Linked DNA regions of Lytechinus pictus. The protein of the gene in region 1 interacts with the protein of each later gene in a pairwise test. Links are inferred from orthologs where the notes say so. Each region holds a gene or a part of one and is shown on either strand. Other genes may lie near its edges. The genes, in order: tax1-binding protein 1 homolog, microtubule-associated proteins 1A/1B light chain 3C-like and gamma-aminobutyric acid receptor-associated protein-like 2.

Region 1 (3,837 bases):
GCATTATTGATCTTCATGATTAAACAAATGTAATCAGAATGCCCAGATTCTAGGTCTAAATCTAATACATGCGCGATAGCCTGCATGTTCTTTATTTAAAATGTGCTTAAATTATCCAGTTTCAGATCAGAATATCAATAATTGTCCGCTCACGCTTCATGATCACATTATTAATGATACCCAATTAACCATGTATTCATGATTTACATAATATTAATAGAGTGTCCCGCGCTTTTAGATCTAAAATCTCAATTTTCTCCCTCTCGCGCTTCGCGCTCGCATCAATTGTTTAGTTACATACCTATCCCATTTATGATTACAAAAGGTGCTTAGAATGACCATTTATGAGGTCGCCTTTGTCAATTTTTTTAGCTCGCGCTACGTGCTCCCATTGTTGAAATATATACCGTCTTCGCGCTATAGGCCTACTGTAAACAGTCATAACAGGTCCCTTTTCGATCATGCTAGAACAGTTCGCGCTTGGCGTTCGCAGTAATTATCTAGTTACATACGCATCTTGTTCAGGTTCACAAATTACATTGCCCAGAACTAAATTTTCAGGACAAAATACATGAAAGTTTAACAAAAAATTACTCGCGCTTCGCGCTCGCACTTTTTATAAAGGGCTTATGAGATTATTTCATATTTATGTTGGTTTTATAAAAATAATTAAAGCTAAGAAGTGACTGATCGGGGAAAATATAGGTGAAGATAATTTTGGGCCCGTCCCCTATTGGCGAAAGTCGGATCCGCCCTAGACACATACGGTACACACACACGTACACACAAACAGAAAAAATGTTGCCCCCCCCCCCCCGGAAAAAAATCCTAGCTACGCCACTGGGTGTCGTCAACGAGAGATTCGGAGGAAAAAGTTCTCCGAATTTGTATTTTGCAATAATACTTTCGACATTTGCATCTTGGACCTACAATGTTCGCATAGACCCATGCATGAACCAGCTCTATGCATGCAAGCTGTTGAGTGTTGGAATTCCCCATTTCAGTATGACATCTAGTCTATAAACAGGAAAGTTTATGAAAAATTATAGATCTAAAGATAAATCAGCTTACTTAGGCAAATTGTAATTGTGATTCAATCAATACTATAAAAAAAGGCTTTAAATTTGACGACGAAGAAATTAGTGGAATTATTTCATAATTTACGATTGACTTATTTATTTGTGTCTTTTTTTTCCTAATAGACTTGATAAAGACTATAGGTCAACCCAGAGGGCATGTTTCGTCATATGTTATTTTCACAACAAAAGTGTTGAGCAGATATACAGATCGGTCAGAAGCGTCGAACATCTACGGAAATTAGTACGATATTGCACGAAGTAGGAAATGCAGACGTGGATTAAAAAAGTAAGCCGTTTTGTATTTTGTGAGTTCATTTGATTTGGTGAGGTTGAGGCCTGACAATGACGGTCTGAATGAGCTCAGAGTCAGAGTCAGACCTGAATTGTCAGAGTCAGACTCTGACTCTGTAATATTCCCGTTTGGTGGTTGTTCCGCTGAATTGAACTGCGTTGGCTCCACTCGACTCACAAATAAATAGTGAGCTTGGAAGATGGAGGCCCGTACTATTTAGCAGTATCCAGTAACGTTAGACATGTTAGTTCTAACATTCGGCGGAAATCCGATTTTAGGATTTTTTTTTTTTACTTTTTAGTAACATAGACCTAGGGCCTACCGGTAACATTTCAGAAATTGTTAAATAAATCCCTAGAAACGATGGTTATTCCTGTTTAAATTGAGAGTAGGGAGTTCGACTTCGATGACTTTTTGAAATCTTGAAGAATCCCAACAAATTTGATATCATTGGAAAGCTTGTGAAATAAGAAAAATAACGGTGCTTCATTTAACTCATTGTCTGATAGTGATATATTGACGGAGATATTCCAATTTACAGGGGAAAATATGCAGATTTTGTTCTGTCAAAAAAAATATTAAACTAGCTTTTTTGAGTGGGGGAGACAGTTGCTTTTTGAAATCTTGAAGGAATCCCAACAAATTTGGTACCATTGGAAAGCTTGTGAAATAAGAAAAAGAATGGTACATAAATCAACTCATGATGTCAAATATTGACAGAGATATTTCTGTTTAAACTAGCCAGGCGGCTTCTAGAGAGAAAAATCATTTACTAACGTAAGGTTACTCTCATACGAAGCCAGGGAGTCCTCCTTATTCATCTGCGTGTACCGCAAAAAACCCTGAAACTTTCGCCCCCGAGATTTCTACTTTCCTTCTAAAAGATCTAGCTCTAAATCATGTACATGGGATAAAACTTCATTTCCGACATTTCTACACTCTCGTTGTTATTTTTAAACAAGAATTCATCAAAAAAAATGAAAAAATATTGTGAAAAGACGGAAGAGACTTGCCCGATGTTTACGCCGCCATCTTGTTTCTTATTGTACTTCCCCAACATTACGCGACGCTCGCGTCCGTGCTCAGACCCTTGAACAAAATATGCAAATCAACTAACAGGCAATGCAAGCGCGAAGATTTTATACATGTATCTGTCTGTTTGTCCGTCCGTCCGTTAACTTTTCCTTGTAAACGCGATAACTTCAGTTTCACTTATTCTAGGTTCATATAATTTTGTGTGTATGATACTAGCATGGATCCCAGGAAGCCTATTGATTTTGAGGTCAAAAGGTCAAGGTCACAGTGACATATTTTCATCCAACCCTTCTGCATTCCTTGTAAACACAATAACTTCAGTCTAACTTAACCTAGGCTCATATAATTTAGTGTGTATGATGCTAGCATGAATCCCAGGAAGCCTATTGATTTTAAGGTAAAAAGGTCAAGGTCACACTGACATGTTTTCATCTTACCCTGCTGCAGTCCTTGTAAATGTGATAACTTCAGTTTAACTTAACCTAGGCTCATATAATTTTATGTGTATGATACTAGCATGGATCCCAGGAAGCCTATTGATTTTGAGGTCAAAAGGTCAAGGTCACACTGACATATTTTCATCTTGCCCTTCTGAAGTCCTTGTAAATGCGATAACTTGAGATTAACGTAACCTAGGCTCATATAATTTTGTGTGTATGATACTAGCATGGATCCCAGGAAGCCTATTGATTTTGAGGTCAAAAGGTCAAGGTCACACTGACATATTTTCATCTTGCCCTTCTGAAGTCCTTGTAAATTGCGATAACTTGAGATTAACGTAACCTAGGCTCATATAATTTTGTTTGTATGGTATTCGAGCATCGATCCCAGGAAGCCTATTGATTTTGAGGTCAAAAGGTCAAGATCACAGTGACATGTTTTCATCTTACCCTTTTGAAGTCCTTGTTACCGCGATAACTTTAGTTGAACTTAACCTAGGCTCATATAATTTAGTGTGTATGATACTAGCAATTCTATTGATTCTGAGGTCAGGAGGTCAAAGGTGAAGTCACCATCTTCCACTCTTCTTGCTTGACCAATACATGTAGCTCCATTTTCTGCATAACAGACGGGCGTATTATGTGCTCGCCTTAGCGACACTCTTGTTAGTGCATGAAATACAAATTTGGGTTTGAATCTATAAATAAAGCCCTTGAACTGCTTATTTTTTATTCTAAGGAATTCTGATCAAATGCATATAAAATTTAAAAAAAGTCAGTATAAAATGGTTTTTATGTTTTTTTTATATTATGTACAGTTTTTTTTTTTTAATGGAAATTATTGGCAATAATTTTCCATTCATTATCAAAAAGTACAAATAAAGATACAGATTCATATTGGCTTTATACATGAAATCACGTTTTTCAGCAAATCGGGGTCTGACATGCACTTGTTTAATATCATAACCGCGTACCCATGCATACACCCCTT
Region 2 (3,600 bases), on another chromosome or scaffold:
GGGAGGGGGTGTCAGAGGGGGCACTTTCTCTCACCCCAAAATAAAGTATTGAGGGCAAAGCAAGCATCCCCCCATGTACCCACTAAAAGAAAAAAAAAGTAATCGATTATTTTGAAGGGAAAATAAATTATGAAGCATATTCTTGTATAAAATTTTCAATTTCATAACTGAAAAAAATGAAAGAAAAATAATTGCACCTGACGGGGCAAGTTAAAGGGTAAACCCTTTTATTTTCCCTTAATTCTTAGTTTACATGCAATGTAAGGATATTTTTTATTGCTTGCGTATAATGAAATAAATAGTTTTCTTAAATATTTGTTTTCATCCTTCACTGTGAATTTTGACTATTTTCGAAGAATTTTGTTTTTAAATGCTTTCTAAACGCGACTTTTATATCCAATTCTTGACAAACTCCCGGGGGGCGGGGGGTCATAGGCGGATCCAGGGGAGGGGACGCCGCTTTGCAGGACATCTCCCGAGGACCTGTGTGTGGCTGTGAGATTGTTCCAGTCATTTTTAATTTTGATGTTAACTTCGTAGCTTCTTTGCGATTGAGCCAATCACTTAAACATGCCTGTGAAGGACATGTGTTAGTTTAGGGTTTAGTTTCTTTTTTTAATAGAGTTAATATAGTGGCGCCATTCGAGTATATTACTTGGCAAATCCACCCTAACAAAAATTTAATTTGAATAAAGAGATAAAATTGAACAAGAATAACACTGAAAATTTCATCAAAATCGACTGTTTTGATATTCTAAATGTTCACAAAACAGTTGAATGCACATCCTGGTTAGTACGTAAACGAAGGGATTGATGACATCATCCACTCAATATTTCATTTATTATTTTTATTCTATTTTATGAAATTTGATATTACTAAAATTTTCTCTTTATTTTCATGCCTGGTTTTCATGTGAATCAGTTTTATTCCTCCCTGAACCTGTAGAATTACCATTATTTTATTTAACATTTTGTGTTTCAATCAGTGCCCTTATTGTCAAATCTATATATACAGAAATTAAAATATTGTATTACAATAAAAACATAAGAGAGTGACATCATTGACTCTCTCATTTGCTTATCACTGAGTTGTGAATATAAATGTGAAAAATACATTTGTAAAAAATAACCGAAACTTAAAAAATTTTACTTTACATCCGATTTTAATAAAATTATTAGCATATGTCGCTTGTTTGACTTTCATCTGGATCTATATAGGTCAACTTTTTTCTTTCGGGGTGGACTTGAATACATTACATATACCTTGATTTTTACACTATTCCCCCTCTAATTTTATTCTTGTTTTGGCATCAATATACCCAAGACCCCCCCCCCCCTTCTGCCACGATGATTAAAAGCAGAGTGACGTCACTCCCAAACAAAGATCAGCTGGCCCACGCTTGTCTGCATACAGACAGAACACAGAACCTTGCACACGTACCGTAAACTGGGAGCGCGTTCGTGAATTTTGTTTACTTTAGCTTGCTGAGGAACTGTTTCACCGCCTGACAGTCTGGATTTTATTGGAGCTAATATTTAAAATTTCAACCTTATCTTGCAAATCGCTGCTAACGTTCCCCGTGGATTTTTAGAGGTGTACTGCCACGATGGGAACAGACAAGAAGACAATCGAAGCTGAAGAGAAGGATGAAAAAGTATACAAATCTTTCAAGCAACGCAAAACGTTTAGTAAGTAGAATTCATATGCGGCTGTGCATTACTGTGCGATGTACAGTCACGTAGTACTTAGCATACTTGTATGCCGTGGTGATTGTTCGATGTTCTTTGTCTGAATGAGATAGGTATACCCAGTTTTTTTTCCGAATGTTATTATTTAATGGAAAAGGTTTATCTCAATTACCACTTAAATGATGGGACGTTATATTGTCTGTTTGAATTATGAAGATATAAAACGCCTCATTGTTAAATACTAACCTTTTTGTTTAATATTATTTATTCTTGACCTTGTTATTATGATTGATTTGTTTATTTAGATTCAGTTTAATACACCACAAACAAGAAATTTATGATGGTGTATTATGAAAGTTTGATGTGAACAACATTTTGATGATGTTAATAAATGATGCATCTTGGCAACTAGCCAACTACTGTATTGGTATAGGCCTACTGATCATGAGACAATTTATTTCTTTCATACAAATTTATGGAACTTAATTTAATAGTACTATTACTTTTTGTTCAGAAGTCAGAACCTGCTTCAGAAATGGTAGTATAACAGTGAGAAAGAGAGATAAATAGTTCCATATTCCGAAACAGTGATGGAGTTTATGTGACATGACTTTGTATTGGAGCCCCCCCCCCCCCCCATTATACTGTATCCGCCTCCCTCATTTCATTAAAATACCCATCTAGAAGGAGGAAAGACAATCCTTTTCTTTAGCAACTAAGGAAACCAAATTCAGTTCCAAGTGAAGAAAAAAGTAGAGAACAAGAGCAGGAACAAAAAAGGATGAGAGAAGAAAGAAGGAGAAGAAAAAAAAAGAAGAAGAAAGAGGGGTAGAAGGAGAAGGAGGAAAAGAAGAAGGAGGAGGATAAAGAGAAGGAGGAGGAGAAGAAGAAAGAGGAGGGGGAGAGGAGAAGGAGAAGAAGGAGAGGAAGAAGAAGAATAAGAGGAAGGAGGAGAAGAAGAGGAAGGAAGAGGATGAAGGAGAAAGGAAGAGGAGGAGAAAGAGGAGCACTGTAAGAGAAGTGGAGGGGGATTTATCACTTTTTGAGAAAGAGGTGACACAATGATTGGACTTTGAATGTTCAAATAATTTGAGTAAAAGTTGAAGGTTGTAAAATATCTGATGTTTTCGATAAGTTTTGTTTATAATACTGTAAGATTTGAAATATTTATGAAAACATGTAAATTTTATTATTTTATTGTATTATTTAACTAAATATCAAACTTATGATGGAAACATGTAATTTACAAATTCCTCTTTTACAATTAGCAGGAAATTCTGGGTGTGGAATGTAGAAGTGGATAGATATTTTATATAGGATTCTGTCTCTAAAAATGCAATTGAAATGATTTTATAAAACACAATTTCAATACGTGAAAACCTTACAGTTGCAGTTTGATTTTATTCAGAAAGTTTCATACTGTATCAATATCCATGGGGAGTTCATGTACATGTACATGTATGTTGAAAATTTAAAATGATGACAATTCTGTACCATAGTTTAGATTAATTGTAACTCATTAATAAGCTAAAGGTATAATTAAGCTTTATTATTAATCAATTTTTGCTAATCTATCTAATTAAAGAGCAATAAACCCGGCTGTATGATCGCACAAGCAAAGTGTCCTTTCCTAATAAGCATTGTGCAAACACTTCAGTTATGGTAACTTACAGGAAGATGTTATAAAGTAGGCCTATTCAGAAAGAATTAATCATTCTTTAATTCAACATTATAATCCATTAACAAACAATATAAATATTTGTGATTTCAGCATCAAGTCAATGGTTGAGAGTTACTGCAAGGTTGAAGAGAGAAAGGACAGAGCATGAATTTGAAAAAATACATACACTGTACATACACTGAAATTGAATTTGATGAAACAATTATGCTTGAAATTATAGGGCTGCTATC
Region 3 (3,837 bases), on another chromosome or scaffold:
ACCTTACAATATCCCTGATCAATAAATATTTCCTAGTCTGACATGGAATATGTCAATTTTGTTTTGTGACCCCGGTGGTGCCACTGAACCAAGTTAGACTGAGACAGGTTTCCAAATATTGGAGGAAGAGAAGTAGTGAGATCAGCATCACTCACATGTGTTCATTCTAATTACGGAATTTAATTCTCTCTCAGTCTAATGATCATGCTCATGCAAGTTACCCTTCTTAAAGTTCTTTAGTGCAGGTCATCATCTGGTGTATTGTCGTACTGGGTTGTATACAAACCATTTTATCATTCTGTAGACTGTAGTATTACAATTTATTTTCAGCACAACAAAGGCTCGACCGAAAGCTTCAGTCTCTGTATTTTGGTTGTTCCGCTGAACTGCGTTGGCTCACTCACCAATGGGGATGATAGTAAAATGTCAGAAAATTGTTAAATAAATCCCAAGGAACGACGGTTATTCCTGTCTAAACAAAGGCAAGCAAATTAATATTCTCTACAATTGACAAATGAACACACTTACACAGCAATGCACCTCGTAGTATAGTCGTACAGTCATTACTATTAGTCTAACCCAGAGAGCTCCCGCCCGCGTAGCGGGCGGGAGCCCAGAAGCTTACCGTGTATTTTACCATTGTCACCGGACTAGGGTGATTTATGGTCTAAATATTTCTCCAAATGAATTGTGAAAACGGAAAGTATACAATTACCACGATTATATGGATGAAGGTCTAACGAGTGGCAGATTCCTGACATCTGGGCACAGTCTGGAACCTCAAAAAAACGAAAAGTTCTCTCCTTCTACCCAGTCTCGATCGGCCATTTTGTTACGATTTTTAACAAAAATGGCCGATCGAGACGGGGTAGAAGGAGAGAACTTTTCGTTTTTTTGAGGTTCCAGACTGTGCCCAGATGTCAGGAATCTGCCACTCGTTAGACCTTCATCCATATAATCATGGTAATTGTATACTTTCTGTTTTCACAATTCATTTGGAGAAATATTTAGACCATAAATCACCCTAGTCCGGTGACAATGGTAAAATACACGGTAAGCTTCTGGGCTCCCGCCCGCTGTGCGGGCGGGAGCTCTCTGGGTTACTATTAGTCCTGCTATGGCAAATAATGGCTAACTTAATACTATCACTCATAAGATTTGCATTGGTGACCAGTTCCCCCAAAGAACAGAATGGTCCAATTTCCTCCCCAAAACTCCTTGTTTTCCCATTAACACCCCCCCCCTCCACTCACTTATATTACGAGGTTAGTTACTGCCCACCCCGGCCCCCCCCCCCCCCGGGGGGGGGGGGGGCACTCAGTATATAATGCATAGTGGGTACGTGCCGCGGAGGGGACCCCCATTTTTACACTAAAATTTCTGTTCCAAGGCATAGCATATTTGTCTTATTGAGAAAAAGAACAAAGAAAGCCGCTCCAAAGCATAGCATTTTCTTCTTATCGAGAAAAAAAGAAGAAATCCGCTCCAAAGCTTCGCATATTTTCTGTTACGCCGTTCCGGTCGCATTGATCTGCTACGATGAGCCGCAATTTTGGTGAAAAGCGGCCGCAGAGCTGTCCGACCATCGCCTCTGCGCTAGCGCACCCGGCGCCCATGCTGCCGGGCTAGCTGCATGCACGTTCCATAGGCATAGGGATGCATACGCACTCACACGCTGGCGATCCGTTCCAAGGACCCCCGTTTTCACAAACATTTGTAGTTCCGAAGCCCGTTCCGAGGACCCTCCTTTTTACAATTAGCCCGCTCCAAGGCCCCCGTTTTTTGTCTCGCCCGCGGCACACCCCTACCACTTTTTTGGTCGAGTGCCGCCCACCCCCCCCCCCCCCCCCCCCCGGCCCCTGATCTAGCCAAGCAAGGACTCTTTGTCAATTGAATAAATATCAATATCACATTTATAAAAAAAATCATCACAGAATCCTCTTGTTTAGGCTGACCCCTATCCCGCCTCCTCTAGCCTCTCCCCTTTACAAGTTCAATCAATTCCAATTGAATTGAAAATATTCACCTTCCGAATGTTCCTCTTTGAACTCCCACTTCATCTTGTGAAGTTGCGCTTGGCTCCTTTTTTCCAACAGAAAAATGCCCTGTCGCACTCGTAGGTCACACACAGAAATGATCCCGACAAAATGTTCTATAGTTTCACTACCGATAATATGAGAGAAATCATATAAATGTTCTGCTTGTAACAAGTTACTGTTGAGATGATCTCGAATTTCCGATTTTTCTCTACACTACAGAAACAACTCTGCTGCTGCGGTTAACGTTTGTCTGTTGTTTACAATATTCATTGCACAATAACACAGCTGAAGCTCCAATGTATAAATACCGCATCTACTTCCGTGTCAGCATGCATCTCGTGATAACATCATTGTTTATTTCGGCGCGTTTCGTATTCGTGAATATTCATGAGTGGTACCGTACGCTGCCCAATTCTCGCTCACCCTCACAAGCGCGATGCGCACGCTGCTTATTATGATTATCATTTTAAATTCGTCCCAAATTCCTTATTGTTTAGTATACTCGCATAATTAAGCAGCCAAGAGGAGACCATTACATGAAAAAACCAAGTGTGGAAAAATAAAATCAATCCCTTAATAAATCATCGTGAAATACTGCTTTAAATGTAAAGTAACCCGACTGTTTGAACTTCGATCAACTGTACCGCAACTGCACCAAATTACGTTTTTTTTTCAATCACTTTAAAAACTCCTTAAAACAGTGAAAAATGTTATATTCTTATATGATGAATGAAAATGTGAGAGTCGTAGGTGCGGGAGGTCCTGATATGTCGTCATGACAAATTTTTCTAGAATGAATATTTGTTGTGTGAATGAATTAGCGAGGGCATACATTGAGATAGCAGCCTGCCCTAACTCCGCTCACCCTGAATGTGTATGATAATCATTGTAAGAGTATATGGCCTATATAAACGGAATTGTCATAATTTTTCAAGTAGACTTTTCTTTAGAATCTGATTTTTTGTGTCATTTCCTCTATTTTGATGGTGCTGAACATGAATCCGCTTGTTGCCAGTTTCATAAATGCCTCCTTCCGCCGTTGCCATGGCAACTGATTAATATGTTTTAAAAAAATAACATATTGAGCCTATATATATGGCACATTACCCTGTCAATTTAAATGGTCCAATCTATCATTCTTAAGCCTTCCAAATTCAATTTCTAGATATAGGCCTATCAAGTCATCAAAGTATTTGCAAAAGATCCATTGCCATGGTAACGGCTTATCTTTCCCGCAGAAAAATACAATTGTCTTGATTGCCTGCAGAGACAGGGCGCCGCTTTTTCCGACGGCGCCACGCGGGCGGCGTCGTAAACATTGAAATCTTAAAACAGGATAAGTTTGTGAAATGTAATAAGTTTGAAATAGGCCTACAGGTTTTTATAGCTATCATGAAACTTAGAAATAAGGGAGTCAGTGAAAATCCTATAGTGAGTTTCAGGTCATGCCGAGCCACGGTCAAAGGTAATTTAAGGTAAATGAACTTTGGCCAATGACGTTGGGGGCATTTATTGAATTGCCATCATAAATCAATATTATGGTGGGAAAAGATGAATGGTGGAAAATGACAATGAAAATGCCAAAATCTATATAGGTTTGACCAATTCATTTGAATTAAATATCGAAAACAACAGAGTGTTCTGCATGGATATAAGTTCATTTGAATGCATGGTAATGGTATGTTGCCATGGTAACGCCTGATTACTCTACTAATTCAACTCGTGAATTTAATATGAGATGAAAATTAAGAAGTCAAAAAGGGGGCCTATGCTTTCGATCCTAGCAGAATCTTCGTCG

The links.
Region 2: the proteins of tax1-binding protein 1 homolog (region 1) and microtubule-associated proteins 1A/1B light chain 3C-like interact in binary tests that used the Homo sapiens proteins (3 or more experiments, as listed by UniProt). The link is inferred for Lytechinus pictus from reciprocal best matches to the Homo sapiens genes TAX1BP1 and MAP1LC3C.
Region 3: the proteins of tax1-binding protein 1 homolog (region 1) and gamma-aminobutyric acid receptor-associated protein-like 2 interact in binary tests that used the Homo sapiens proteins (3 or more experiments, as listed by UniProt). The link is inferred for Lytechinus pictus from reciprocal best matches to the Homo sapiens genes TAX1BP1 and GABARAPL2.

Annotation. Positions count from the first base shown.
Region 1 is NC_087247.1:54,054,679-54,058,515, reverse strand, and holds the start of tax1-binding protein 1 homolog, read left to right. Parts: upstream 1-1,202; 5' UTR 1,203-1,365; intron 1,366-3,837.
Region 2 is NC_087251.1:17,740,762-17,744,361, forward strand, and holds the start of microtubule-associated proteins 1A/1B light chain 3C-like, read left to right. Parts: upstream 1-1,370; 5' UTR 1,371-1,607; coding exon 1,608-1,689; intron 1,690-3,600.
Region 3 is NC_087246.1:27,481,843-27,485,679, reverse strand, and holds the start of gamma-aminobutyric acid receptor-associated protein-like 2, read right to left. Parts: upstream 2,361-3,837; 5' UTR 2,061-2,360; coding exon 2,027-2,060; intron 1-2,026. UniProt on the Homo sapiens protein: Ubiquitin-like modifier involved in intra-Golgi traffic. Modulates intra-Golgi transport through coupling between NSF activity and SNAREs activation. It first stimulates the ATPase activity of NSF which in turn stimulates the association with GOSR1.